Linked DNA regions of Notamacropus eugenii. The protein of the gene in region 1 interacts with the protein of each later gene in a pairwise test. Links are inferred from orthologs where the notes say so. Each region holds a gene or a part of one and is shown in the gene's direction. Other genes may lie near its edges.

Region 1 (6,958 bases):
AATATTATGGTAATAATTATAGCAATTAGTCTTTACAAGTTACCTACTATGTGCAAACAGAATGAGGTGGCTTGCCTGGGGTCACACAGCTAGTAATTGCCTGAGGTGGAATTTGAACTCTGCAACTCCAGAGTCAAGGCTCAGTTTTCTAGCTGAGGCATTTAGGGTTAGGCCCACCTCGCCGCCCAAATGCTTTACAAATGTCATTTCGCTTTATCCTCATCACAGCCCTTCAAGATAGAGACGCTGTTATTCTCCCCATTTTTTAGCTGAGGAAACTTAAGCAGACAGAGGTTAAGTGATTTGAGCAGCATCGCAGTCACAAAGCTAGCACGTGTCAGGGGTCACATTGACTCCATCTCATTGGACCACCTATAGAAGAGGAGCAGGCGGTCAGGTAGGTCAGGACAGGACAGACAGACAGAGATGAGGTGAAGGGCTGGGAGTCAGACCTGGCTTCAAAGCCCACAGGCTCACCTCCCTGAGCTTCCTCTATACCTTGAAAAGACTCGCACTCTGAAGTGGGGAAGGGGGCACAGGGGTCCCTACCCTGACAAATATCACAGCAGTGCTGGCCACAGGTGGTGCTTCGTAGGAATCATTTCCCACTTTCTCTACTGAGTTCAGGAGTGTTACATCCAGTAGAGGGAGCCACACTACCTTCCACTCATACAAGAAGAGAAAGAACCACCTCCCCCTTCTCCCCTCCTCACCTTTCTAGGATAGGTGACTGTGTCCCATAGTCCTAGCTCCACCGCAGCCTCTGGGAGAGATAGGCTAGGCCCCCCCACTACTAAAACAATTAGGCTTCGAAATCCCATTAGTCTGGGAAGTAAACAATGGTCTCATTCCTTTCCAGCCCAGATTCCAAGGCTGATCCTCTGGCCGTCACCCCTAGGACCAGGAATCCTGGGAAGTGGCTCCACTGGAAATCCACAATCAGTGAATGGGTTGCTTTGGCCTTGGTCTCCGGCCCCTCTGCCTATCTTGCCCAGGTGCCCACCAGAGAAGGTAAAGCTGCTTCTAAATTCCTCCTCCTCCCCTCCATGGAGTCAACACAAGGAAGGCCTTAAGGTGTCCTTTCAAACACACTGGAGCTGTCCAATAAATAAATGTGCTTATAAGCCTTTCCTAAGTGCCTGTGATGGGCCACTCAGCCCCGGATAAGCCTTTTTCAGATCACTCCTTGGTTCTGCTTGGTGTCACTGCTGGGTGCCCCAGAGCATTTCACTGACCACAGGCACAGTATTCTGTTTGTGGATGGGATGGGGAGAAGAAGATTGGTATGCTGGCTGTGTGACCCTTCATCCCCTCCCAAGCACAGCCTCCATTTTCTACAAGTTGGTAAGAAAATGGTTAAAGCTGTGAAAATGCACATGATTATCAGGCTGGGTCTTCCCAGGCCCTTCCAAAAGGGCAGGCTAACAATTCAATCACTTTATCTCTAATGAGATAATGTATGCAAAGTGCTTTGCAAAATTGCAACCAGAGGCTGTGATTATTCTGACAAGCCTGGGGCCCCAGCTGGGGGGAGGGGAGAGATCCATCCACAATTAGGTATTAAATGGGGTTGATTTCTGCCTCACCTTCTGCTAGGTTAAAACACGACACTCTGAGAATGGTCTTAAGACCCCCAGGACACCCAGGAGAGCTTGGCCAAGTAAGAGTGAACTGCCTTCCTCACCTTTGGGCTAACCCTCACCAGCTAGATGTGGACCTGAGACTCCAGGTCCCTTTTAACTGCCCCCATACTCTCTGCTGGCAGTGACAGGGACATCCAACAGTCTTGTATCTTCTGAGGATGTCAGAAGCCTGTTCTTTGACTACACCAGGAACTGTCTCCAGAAATAAGGGCGATCTCTCCCCCAGGATGTAATTAGTCAAATTCTAAACACACACACACACCTAATTTAGTGCTTAAGAACCCAGGCTGACACAAAATCCCAGAATTTTAGACCTGGAAGGACTCCCAGCTATTCTCTCATTCAACCCTTCCATTGGACAGTTGTCACAATCACAGTCAAAAAAGAACTTTAGCCCTTGGGGTAGTGATCCCAAAGCAGCACTGTACTTTGGTCCTTTCTCCTTAGCTTTTACTTTCCAAGATCACAGGAGTACAGATCTGGAGTTAGAAGGGATCCTTGAGGTCTTCCAGTTCGATCTTCCCACTCTACAGATGAAGAAATTGAGGCACCCACTTCAAAGTTAAACAACATGATCACATGAACTGCATTAAGAGACAGAACCAGGGTCTGAATCCCTGTCATCTGACTCTTTCCACTAAGTCTCAGTATTTTTTACTTACTCCCATATTCACTCTTTTTTGTCATTGTCTTTGTTTTGTTTCATTTCCTTCTAGTCTGCTGTATTCCTCCCCAGGTCTAGCTTGTCAACATTCTTCTTGAGAAGCTCCTTACTCTGGTTGACCAGGATCACAGGCTTCCATCAGGACCTGAAGAACCACCCTCCCCCAACCTCTACCATCTAACCCTTGTGCCTACCCATTGTCCAGGTGGTGAAGCTGAGGTCCAGCCCAAGAGGGGGGTGAAAGGACATGCTGAGAACTCACACAGAACAAGGGATAGGATGGAGCAGAATTCAAATGTATACATAGATACATACAAATCAATAAACAGTAAGCACCTACTATGTGCTATACCCTGTGCTAAGTGTTGGAGATACAAAGAAAGGTAAAAGATGGTCCCTGACTTCAAGGAGCTCATGGTCCAATGCAGGAAGCTACAAGCAAACATGCACAGATAACCTCGGTGCCAAATAAATAGGAAATAACATGGGGAAAGACTTCCTGGAGAGGGAGGGATTTTTACTTGGGACTTCAAGGAAACCAGGGAAAGCCCTGAGGCAAAGGTGAATTGGAAGACCAACCAGGGTTTTGGGACTGCCTGGAAAATGCCCAGAGCTAAGAGGACAGGGTCAGTTCAGGCTGTACCACTGCATCATAATGTCTCTCTCTCTTTCTCTTTCTCTCTCTCTCTCTCTCTCTCTCTCTCTCTCTCTCTTTCTCTCTCTCTCTCCTTCTCTCTCTCTCTCTCAAGGAGGTGATGTGGAAGATAACTAGAAAAGCAGGAGGGGCAACTTATGAAAGGTTTAAGTGACAAAGAAAAGATTTTATATTTGATCGTGGAGGTAAGGGTGAGCCGTGATTAGTCAGAGCTGTGATTTACAAAGGTCACTTTCACAGATCACAAGAGAAGAATGGACTGGAGTAAGCAGAGACCAGCAGACAGACCAAAACTAGTGCAGTCATCCAGGTGTTCGGTGATGAGGACTTGCACCAGGGTGGAGGTGCTGTCAGAGAGAAAGGGGCATATGTGAGAGATGTGACAAAAGTAAAACCAATAGGCCTGGTAATCGATTGGATATGGGGGGTGAGAGAGAATGAGGAGCTGAAAATGACACCTAGGATATGAGGATGGGGATGCCCTGCTGAGTGACAGGGAAGTTTGGAATCTGGAAGGGGCGAGTTTGAGGAGGAAGGTAATCAGTTCAGTTTGAGATTTCTACCGGACATACATCATAAGAAGCAGTTGGAGACAGACTGAAGGTCAGCAGAAAGGTTAGGACTGGATAAATCGGTCTGAGAATCACCAGCATAAAGATGAGACCTGAATACTTGGATGCTAATGAGATCACTAAGGAAATAGTAGAGAGATAGAAGAGTTAGCTTCTTAAGTGTGCATGCCCATGAGAGCACTGGAGAAGGAAATGTTAAAATCCCCCCCAGGATCTTCACCAAGTAAACCCCATGGATAGTATGGTCCATGGGGTCACAACGAGTTAGACAGGAAGGAACAACGATGTGTAAATGCATATATTTGTAGATGTGCATCCCTAGGGGAAAGGATGAATATTAACTCTAGAGGAGTACGCAGAAGTGTCCTTTCCATTGGTTTTATTATATGGGTTGGACTCTAAGGCCCCTCTGGAAGCCCCCAACCTAACCCACAAACCAGGTCAGTGACTGGGTTATACCTGCATTTATAGGCATGTTCTCTGCCCAAATTGTAGCATGTATTTCCTTGGGAGAATGGCTGGACTAAAGAAGTGGGACTTTCCGGGGAAGGATCTGCAGCTAGTCTTTCCTTGCAGTATTAACAGAGTACCTAGAACAAAGTAGGCCCTTAACAAAGGTTTTTTTAAACTATTTATTGACTGAACTAGACAGAAGCCTCCAGTCCAACGGACTTTAAGGGAGGGAGACCTGGAGGAGCCATTTTCTCGGCATCCTCTTTGGGCCAAGATAAGTGGGGGAGAACTAAGGAGTCCTCTGGGGGAGGAGGGAGGGTTCGGGGGGGGGCGGGGGGGGAAAGGAGGATGTAACTACTGGGACGTAACCACCCGGAGAAGGAACTCAGACATCTAGGAGCCAGCAGAAGTGCGAAGGGCCCCCGGGGTGGGGCTGAATGTAGGACAATTAGGTGGTACTTATCGGAGCCTTTGAGGTTTGTTTATGCAAGCCAGATTGGGGGGTGGGCCCTCAGCCGGCCCCGCAGCTTATATAAGTTTCACCCTGGCGCTCCCAGGAGAGTTAAAGTCCATCCTTTTTGGTGCCCACCAGTCTCATAATGACGAAGGCCCCATTTTCTGTGGAATGGCTCTCTCAGAGCAGCCAGAAGCCCTCACGCCTCGGCCAAGATGACTCAGAGGCTTCCACTGCAGGGAAAGGCCGAGGCGACCAGGTCCTTGGGGGGGATCTTATTTTATCGGGCCTTCCTGATACCTCGGGGTCAGAAGGCCCTTCTACGAGTTCGTGGGTCCCGACGCTACCCGCCGCCGCCGCCGCCGCCGCCGTTGTCAGAGAGTCTTCCTTAGTCAGTAAGTGCTTTCTCCAGGTGTGGTGGTCAATAGAGGAGACCCCGAACTAGAATGGGGTGTGGAGGAAAACCATAACACACGGAAAAGGGCTGTGTTTGGAGGGGAAGAAGAGAGAAGGCGGGCCAAGGGCCAGGGTGACTGGAAGGGACAAGGGAGACAGCACTGGACTGGACTGGACTGGACCAGGCCAGCCCAACAGGGGGACTTGCTGCTTCCGAGAAAGTCCGATTCCTGTTGGATAGCCTTTCCACCAGAAGCCAGGAGCGCGGAGGTCAGGTTCAAGTTGTCTTTAGGGGGCGAGGCATTTGGGGAACTCCTTGCCACTCAGGGCCACGTGTTTTGACCAGTAAGGAAGCACTTAGCCTACCAGCCTGCCCTAATTGACCCATCCCTACGAGAGCTAGTTGTCATTTGAAGATATTCCTGACCTCCCTACCAGAGCCGAAGCTCAGGCCCTCGGTGAGGGTGTGCCGACATGTCTAGGTGGGAAGGCCTAGACTTTCTAAGCGCCGCCTCACCTCTCTCCCAAGAATCCAGGTCTCTGGGCGAGGAGGCTTCCCCTGAGGTCAACAGTGGCAGCTGCGGGCTGTCGGAGGGCCCAGGCCCTGAACCCCATTCCCGGGGCGCTCGCCGCCTGCGCACGGCTTTTACGACCAAGCAGATCAGCACTCTGGAGAGCTCCTTCAAACGCCACCACTACCTGGGCGCTGCGGAGAGGCGCAAACTGGCCGGCAAGATGCAGCTGTCAGAAGTTCAGGTACCCAGACGGGCAGGGGGGGGGCTCCCCACTCCATTCCACCCCACCCCTCGAGCCCCGGTTCTGCCGCCAGCCTGCGGCGATGCTCAACTTGACTTTGACTTGTTGGGCTCCCGCAGATAAAAACCTGGTTCCAGAATCGCCGCATGAAGCTGAAGCGCCAGCTGCAGGATTTGAGGCCCCCCGACCCTCCTCCAGGCTTCCCCCTCCATCTCTACAGCCCCCTGCTTCTGCGCTCTACACCAGTCCCGCCACCAGGCCTGCCATACGTGTACCCCAATTCGCCACAGCTCCGAGTCCCCAGCCTCATCCAGGAGCCCTTTACTGGTGGCCTGGCCCTCCCATCTCTACTCCCTCTGCCTTTACCCCCCAGTTCCTGCAAAGTGGCCCCTCCTGCCATCCCGTCTGTGCTGGCCTGTTTACTGAGCGGTTGCCCAGACCAGGCCTCCTTCCTGAGGGCCTTGTGACGTTGGAGGCCTGCCCCTCTTTCGGGGTGACATTGATACTGAGGAAGGAGAGATGAGACTGGACAGGATAGGACATCTCTAGGAGCCAAAGTCTGACAGGACCTGGTGAAAGAGTCCTCTTTGTTCCACTGGAGGTCCTCAAATATGAACTTATGTATATATTTGCAAAATTTTGTCAAACTATTATGTACAGAAAGAACTATTTATGGAAATATTAAAGAATAGTTGATGTTTTTAACGTCTTATGTGTGCATATGTAATTTGTGAAAGAAACCAGTCCACTTCTGATCAAGATTTCATTCCAAAAGAAAAACAAGTTTGAAATCATTACAAAAGTGGGAGGTTTAGCAGCTGAGATGGGGAGGGAGAAAGACCAGGGAGGGTCATCCTTTCCTGTAGGAGAGTGTGGCATTTTAGAAAATAGGGCCAAGACAGAAGATGGAAAGTGGAGGGAGGTTTGGTTTTTCCAATGTGTGAAAAACATCATGGATAATAAGAAGGGAAGACCCTTAAAAAGTACCCAACAGAAGAGCATCTAAACCTGGAGGTAATAGGGGGAGCCAATTCAATTGGGGTAATGAGAAGGGAAGACCCTTGAAAAGTGCCTAAGCCAATTCAATTCATTGGCAAGAGGTTAGATCCTCATCAATTAATTAGGCTGAGAATTCACTAGGAGCCAAAGCTGGGGGTGTGGGGGGATCTGCTCCTGCACATTTTGGGGAGGTTAGGGTTGAGCAGAGAAAAAGGGAAGAAGGATACAGATTGGGGGAGGAATTCCATAAGTCAACAAATACCCTCCACTCAATTTGAGACCCCTCTAACCATAACCATAGTGTAAAGCAAGGGTTTTACTCCTATAATGCTGGCTCCTACCTACCTTAGGGGTAAGAATATCTAG
Region 2 (7,748 bases), on another chromosome or scaffold:
TTGTCTAATTGGATTGCCTTTAGATCCTTAAACAAGTTCACATTTCACCTCTAACAAGAGCTCACATGTCCCTTAAGGGGCATCTCATACCTGCTGTAACTTCAGAGACATTAGATAGGGACCAGAATAAGGACTAGACCAGTAATTCTCCAGGCAGAGGGAATTCCCAGATAAGAAAATGCTCCCTACCAAGGCAGTTCAGTGCCTTTTCTGCAATTTACAATCTTAGAGAGCTGCCTAGAGTACTGAATGGTTAAGTGACTTGCCTAGGATGACACAGTCAGCATGTCAGGCCCAGATCTTCCTAGCTCCCAGGCTATCTTTCTATCCATTGTGACTCCATGATGACTCTCTTGCAGAGCCCAAGTAGTCCTACCTTTAATACATCACCTCCTCCCCCCCTCCCCCCCCCCCCCCCCCCCCCCGCCTCCATTGCAGCATCCTGTCTCACTTCCCCATGTCACATGCTTATTTTTCCAGGCTCTCTAAAGTCATCCTTTACTATGACATCTTACAATGAGGATTTCCAAATTGTCATCAGTTTCCCCATTCTTTTCTCTAATCTGACCATCCATGTGGACCAGGGCTGTTCTGTATTCTTCCACTATTCCTCTGTGGTTTGCATGGCCTTTGGAAAACTCTCTCCTCCAAAATTGTATAGGTGCCCTGGGGCTGAGCAAGATCCAATGTGCTAAAGAGACCATCCAGCTGTGGTGGATGAATTGTTGACCTGAGCATCTGCCACACTGAGCCCCAGTACCTGAAAGCAAAAGACTCTTGCAGCTGAACTTGCAAAACTATTGCGGAGGGGCTGATTTTCTGGGGGTGGAGAGGTTAACAGGAATTCCGGGAAACTACTCCCGGGTTCCAGACCCATTGGGATATACACAGGAAGAGCTTAGCTACATTGCTTCCAGCTATGCTGTCAAATAGACATTCAATTGGGAATGGTAAAGCTTGCTCCAAAGTAAGAAGTATCTCATCTCCAGATTTCACATTTGCTTATCATTATTTTGGGGGGATTTTTTCCCCCAAGAAAAACAGTTCCCACCAACCACAAAAAGAGCTCTCTGGAACATTAATCCAGAAAGGAACAGCTAAGACACTTTTCTGCCTTGATTTTAACAGGAATTCAACAGCCCAAATACATTTCCCCTCAGGCTACTTCCTACCCTCTACAAAGAATGTGAACCAAACTCAAGCAAGAACCTTCATTTAGAAGAGATCCTTTCAGACTTGCCATGGTGGCTGAGTAGAAGATTTTTGTAGATTCCCCCAACATTTTCTCCGTTCCATCCCTTGTCCAAGGACCTGAGGGAAACAGAGCTAAACTCGTTCCCACTGGGCAGGCCATCTTCTGGCCAGGATGGAAAGAATGCTTAAGGACTTCTTTGCCTTCCTTACTTTGTGCTGGCAGAAAGCAAGTTTCATTGATTTGTGGCCAAGATCATGTCAGGAAATGGTGTCAGAGCAATCTGTCTTGAGCTTTACCAAGATTTTCTTCATGTTGGGTCACATTTACACCATAAATAAAACTTGGCACTCCTATCTGCAGACATGGAAATATATTATAGAATATTAGGAGATAGAATTTTAGAGTTTAAAGGGACTTTAAAGATCAATGAGGCTAATAGATGAGAAATTGAGACTCAGAGAGAATGACTTACCTTAGACTACTGGGCTAGTCCAAGGCTTGAAGAGGGTGCCTCTTAACACCCAACCCAGTGGTTTTCTCTATTACAATCACACTGTCTTCCCCATTATAAAGCCAAAATGCTGTCTTCCCAACCCAGACCAGACATCAGTTCCCCCACCCCTGCTTTTTTTTTTTACTTCAGTATTTCAAAGGCACTCCCTTAACCAATGCAGATAGTAACCTTTTTATAACTTGGTATAAGGGTGTTGCTGTGGTCAAAAATTTTAATTTCATCACCCTGTGGCCAGCCTGGTGCTGAGAATCTCTCAGCTTACTTAGGCTGGTCCTTGGATGTCAGATATATGGTCCATCCCCAGCCTCTATTCTAAGTTTTTCCTGCTTGGAAAGACATGTTGGTGTTTGTGCTCCCCTGGCTGAGCATTTGAGAGCCTAGGATTACCTTCACACCATCACAAAGCATTGGGGATAACTTCACCAAAGGATAATAATTTTTTTCCTGAAAACAAATGGCAACCTCATAGTCCAAGTGAATTAAGTTATCAAACTGAGAGTCATGGAAGGTGTTTTGCTGGGGGTTTTTACTGATGTAATAGCTAGCATTTATATAAATAATTATGTAGGGTTTGCAAAGAGATTTACGTATATTATTGAATTTGACCCTCCCGGTGAGGAAGCTGAGGTAAAGTAACTTGTTCGGGGTCACGCAGCTAATAAAGATCTGAGGCAGGATTTTCTCTATTCACTGTGCCACCACTGATGTATCATGGAAAATAGTGAGTAAAAAGGTAAACGTCTTGTTTCAGGTCACATCAAAAATGTGCACTAAATGGGACTCGTAGCTGAGACTATAAGGTGAACAGGCACATTCCTCAAGATCATTCAGATACCGCAGTTGTATATTAAATGGCATAAAGCAGGCAACCTTGGAATAAGTAACACCTTAGCTAGGTTCACATCCAGGTCTGACATATTGGTAACTGACTGCCCATGGGCAAGTCACTTAACTTAGGAGTAGCCTCAGGTACCTCTCTAAAGACTGCAATTAAAGATAAATTGTTGATCTGCTTGGTAGGGGAGAGTTTCTAGGTCAGAAAGTTCCCTAAAGCAATGAAATCATTGACCAGATCCTCCCACCTGTGATTACTTTGTAGTTAGACACTTTTGAAATGAGGTAGAATATATTGCATTTTATTTTGGAGGCAATCCAGATGAAGTGACTTGCCCAGTGTCACACAGTTAGTAAGTGTCAGAGGTCACATTTGCACCTGGGTCCTCCTCACTCCAATGCTCTATTAAGACTCTATCTACTGCAGCACCACCTAGCTGCCCCCAGCAGATATTTTAAAGGGCAGTTCAATGACTGCGGTGTCAGAGGACAATAAGACGGTTGGAGAAAGCTCAGTTTCAGTCATCTACATACATGGGGGCAGCGGGAAGACTTGGAACCGTAGAACCTAAGTTCAAATTCTAGCTCTGCTATTTGTGTAACCTTATGCAAACTGCTTAACTTCTGGGCCCCAGTTTTTTTTATAAAATGAGGGGATGGGACTAGATGTCTTCTAAGTTCTCTTCCAGCTCTAGAGCCATGATCCTATCATATATACGGACATAGATGATTACATGGTTATATACATTGTCTCTCTGTCTTTTGACAATCAGCCTAGCCAAGTTCAGAGAAGATCATCACCAAGCTGACTTATGGGGTAAATAATTTTTCATCCTGAAATACATTTAGAAAGCATAGAAGGTTGCCCTTGTTATTCAGATGTGCCCCTCCCTCCCCCCCTCCCCCACTGATGAAATTACAGATCCTTGAAGAATTGATATGTAGGGCACATTAAAATATTGGATTCAAATGTGTGTGTATGGGGGGGGGAGGAAGGAAAGGAGAAAAGAAAAGAGGAGAGGAAGATGGGGAGAGAGGGAAGGAGAAAGGGAGAGGGGGAGAGAGAGGGAGATAGGCAGAGAGAGAGAGAGAGAGAGAGATAGAAGGGGAGAACAAGAAAGAAACAGAGAGGGGGGGAGAGAGAGAAACAGACACAGAAAGAGTTTGGTTCATCTAGCTATACAGATATATGTACACTCATCAGTTGAGAGCAGAAAAGTACATTCCCCACAAAGACTAGATCAGGGATTCTTAGCCTTTCTTGTGGCATGTTCTGTTTAGACAGTCTAGTGAAGTCTCTGGATCCCTTCTCTGAACTGGGCTTTTAAATAATTGAAGGAAATGTTAAATCTCACTGAGAGCTAAGTGAAAATAAAGATCTAATTTTTTCCTTATCTGAGTTGAGGAACTCGTTGAATTCTACCCATGGATGCCTTAGGGGGTCCCTGGACCCCTGGTTCAGAACTACTTGACTATAGAAGAAAGAAGATAACAGAAGCTTGCTGAGGTCTGCTACCCTGAAGGTTCATCATTTGTCTGTGAGAAAGAGAATCGAATTGGGACCAGGGCCATAGGAGGTAGGACTTTTATCGAAGAGCGAGATTCCCCCCTTCCCCTGTTGGATGACCCCCAGGCTTGGGCAGACGTCTCTCTCCGGCAGATGTATGTTCCCGACCTTTTCTTTCAAGTCAAAAACTTCAAGCCTCCGGATTAGGGCAGGAGCTGGCTAAGCTTATGGTTTCTAGCTCTAGGGCTCGCACTTGTAAAAACTTCCAAACCTGGGCAGCTCGAAAGAGAGCCCTGGGGTTCAGTGCACTGGCCATCCCGCCCCCTAGACCTGGTTTGGTTATCCCTTCCCCTGTTCCCGGGAACATCAGCCCCCAGCAGCCGCCTGCGCTGGCTAGCCAAAAACCCCGGGAAGATTTTTCTGGATCTGGTTAAACACTATTTGCACTTTTGTTGGAAAAGTGGCCCCTCGTGGGCAATTATGTCACATTTCTTTGAGTTTTACAATTTAATGTAAAACAGTAACCTTTTATTTATCCTAGACGAGGCCGTCTCCCTCTCTCCCCCCTCCTCCCTCCCCCTTCCTCCCCCTTCTTCTCCCCTCCCTCCCCCCCCCGCCCCTTCCCCCCCTCCCCCCCCTCGCCGCCCTTGCTCTGAAATGTCACTCAGCGTGCTCTTTTGCTTCCACCAGTTTCCAAAACAAACAGCGGAGGCTGCAGGCTGCGGGCCGGGCCGGGCTGCCTCAGTGCCTGCATCCGGGCGGGCTTACTGCTCTCCCCGGGCTGCCTGCCGCGGCGCCCCCATTGGAGCTCCCCAGCCGGTCCTCAGGGCAGGGCTGCTCCCTCCCAGGTCTCCCCTTGCCAATCTTGTAGAACCATTAGGAAAAAAAATGAACGGGGGGAGATTTGACCACTGATGGTCCCCACATGTCCGATGGGAGCAGGTTTTTGGTGTTTTTTTTTAGTCAGAAATCTCAGCTCTTCCCCAGTCTATAATGAGGAGCCTCAGGTCTTAATATTGATCTTTCTTCTCCTTTCCTCCTTTAGAAAATTTTGGGGAAAGACAATTCCATTTTCGACTTTTTGGATTTCCCCTTCACTTCCTCCTGCCCTTCTCCCCCCACTCCCAACTGCTCTCCCCTCCCCCAAGGATCAAGTGGAAGCTTCTCTTGCTCGTGTAGATTCCGTTGGTTCCTCCAGGGATGGCTTTGAGCTCCCGAGCTCACGCGTTCTCCGTGGAAGCCTTGGTGGGGAGAGCAACCAAAAGGAAACTCCGAGACTTGCGGGATGAGCAGCCGCCGCAGGATCTGCTGGAGAAAGGCGATGTGGAGGGAAAAGAGGAAGAGGAAGACAGAGAAAACCGGGTGCTGAGGAAAATCGAGGAATCGGGTCAGTATCATCACCCTTCTCCCCCCACCCCAAACACAGCAGCAGCAGCCTGCTACACCGCGGACGCCAGAGGTGGCCAGCCCAGGGAGGCTCCTTGGCTATCTTGGGTGGGCGAGGGCCTTGGCTGGGGGTCCCATAGCTTTGGGCAGCCTACTTCTGGGAGCAGCTGCCAGGAGAACCTGAGAGGGACTGAGAACCTGCCTCTAGGACAGAGCTCCCCAGATTCCTTTTGGGATGCACAGTTCCCCAGCCATGGGGAGTGCCAATGAAAGAGGGAAGGCCCTGCGCTAGGACTTAAGCTCAGTAGAGCTGCGGCCCCGCTGCCCCTCATTCCCTCTAAGTGTTGTGGGTTTGAGGGACAAGAGCGGATTCTTTCCCAGTGACCACGGTGGGGGTAGGATGGGGGTCTCCTTCCCTGAAATACTTCACTTCATTCGGAGGCAACTTGAGGTGGCCTCGGACTGAGACTCCTTATTTGTGTGACTGCTCAGGTTACTAGTTCTCTCTGACCATATTTCTTCCTCTGTAAAACTGAAGTTGGAACAGATGATCATTGAGGTTCCTTCCAGTAGTACCGGTCTGTGAAATGGGCCGGGACCTGCTGTCCTGGGGACAGGTCCTAGGCGCTGGAGGCAGCCAGGAAGGGAGAACCTGGAGCACAAACACCTTCCATTTCTGTCTCTGGGCAGAAAAGAGACCCAAAGTAGAAACTTCGACGACTGCTTTCTCCGAAAATCCGGAAGATAAAGATAACGTCCAGGCAGAGCTCCAAGGCTCCGAGCTGTGGCAGAGATTCCATGAGATTGGGACTGAGATGATCATCACCAAAGCCGGCAGGTAGGCAGGCCCCTGTTTCCAGAACCCAACCTAGGAGGATCCTGGGGCAGACAGCACCATCACTAGACACCTCCCACGCAGGGCAGGAACCTCTTGCGGAGCTATCTAGGCTCACCCTGGTACTGAGGCACATGCTCACCTCCAACTCGTGGAGTCAGCTTCTCCTTGAGAGCCCAGAGGCAGCCGCTTGCCAGTGGGTACTCTCAGGGTCAGTCCTTGAGCCCACTTCTAAATAAGCAGCTTTCTTTGCCAGTAAAATTGCTCTAAGCCCTGTCAGTTACACGGGTCAGGGAGTAAATTACCCACCCGAGGGTCAGAGAGATTCGGAGAAACCCATAGATGGGAGGTGTGCCTCGCCCAAATCCTCTCATTTGCACCTAGCTCGAAATTCTCCCAGTGTGCTTTCCTCCCATCTTGCTTTAGCAAAGGAACAGAAATACAGAGAATGAGTTGAGTGTAGGGTTAGCCCCAGATCGACTCAGTCACAATTTAAAAGTTCCCAGAGTTCACCTCTCAGAAACAATTCAAAAGAACCTTTGCTTGTTTGTCCCTTTCCCTTTTGGAAGCAGCTCTGTTAGATCATACACAGGGAGGGAGCCCTCCTCTTCCTGGAGAGTACCAACATTTCAGCCGATGCACAGAGGGACTCCCAAGCTTCTCCCGTACATTGCTTAGGCCTTTTCTGCCGCTAGTACTGAATCCTCTTCCCTTCGCACTTGGAAAAGCGAGGCAGCCAGCCTCCCCTCCGGCAAATGTTTTTCAAGGCCAGACAGAGCAGAGTGCTTTCCGTCTCTTCTGCAGGCGAATGTTCCCTTCTGTTCGTGTCAAAGTGAAAGGGCTGGACCCTGTGAAACAATATTACATTGCTATTGACGTGGTGCCAGTGGACTCCAAAAGATACAGGTAAAAGGTGGACGGTAGCTCAAGTCCAGCGACATCACAAACCTGGCAGGCTGCTTGCTCTGACTTGGGAACCCAGGATCCCCTAACAAACAGGCCGGTTAAAGCTAAACTCTTCCTCAGCAAGGTTTTTACAATGCAACTCCACTGAGCCGCATTGGCTCCTACTGGTCTTGCTCTGGTCTGGGCTCTTGTATGAGGAGGGGAGGGGATCTCGGCTACTTCCTTGGGTGCCATGCTGAGGACCAGGTTCCTGTCTTGGTGCTGGCAGGTACCACATAGTTCTTGGGAGACCCATGCCACTCTGAAACTTCAGCAGGAGAAGGGAGACCTTCATGTGTCCTCAGAGCTCAGAAGGGAAAAGGGACATTGAGTCTCTCACCGTTGTGCCACAGGAATCGGCCACTGTCCTTTTCTTTACCCAGTGACTTCCCAGGCATTGAGAAATCCTGAGCCCTTTCAAACCAAGACAAAGCTTATGGGCATTGCTTAGGCTGCCAAGAGGAACAGGTTTCCCTCAGGGGTTGACCTGGCACCGTTAAGCTTAGGACCTTCGGCGTTTGGTGTCAGTGGC

Evidence for each region.
Region 2: the proteins of VENTX (region 1) and TBX22 interact in binary tests that used the Homo sapiens proteins (3 or more experiments, as listed by UniProt). The two-hybrid records come from large-scale screens. The link is inferred for Notamacropus eugenii from reciprocal best matches to the Homo sapiens genes VENTX and TBX22.

What each region holds. Positions count from the first base shown.
Region 1 is NC_092872.1:291,926,800-291,933,757, forward strand, and holds VENTX (homeobox protein VENTX), read left to right. Parts: upstream 1-4,543; 5' UTR 4,544-4,586; coding exon 4,587-4,836; intron 4,837-5,366; coding exon 5,367-5,593; intron 5,594-5,712; coding exon 5,713-6,060; 3' UTR 6,061-6,298; downstream 6,299-6,958. UniProt on the Homo sapiens protein: May be involved in ventralization.
Region 2 is NC_092879.1:76,582,120-76,589,867, forward strand, and holds the start of TBX22 (T-box transcription factor TBX22), read left to right. Parts: upstream 1-4,700; 5' UTR 4,701-5,250; coding exon 5,251-5,437; intron 5,438-6,126; coding exon 6,127-6,274; intron 6,275-7,075; coding exon 7,076-7,177; intron 7,178-7,748. UniProt on the Homo sapiens protein: Probable transcriptional regulator involved in developmental processes. This is major determinant crucial to palatogenesis.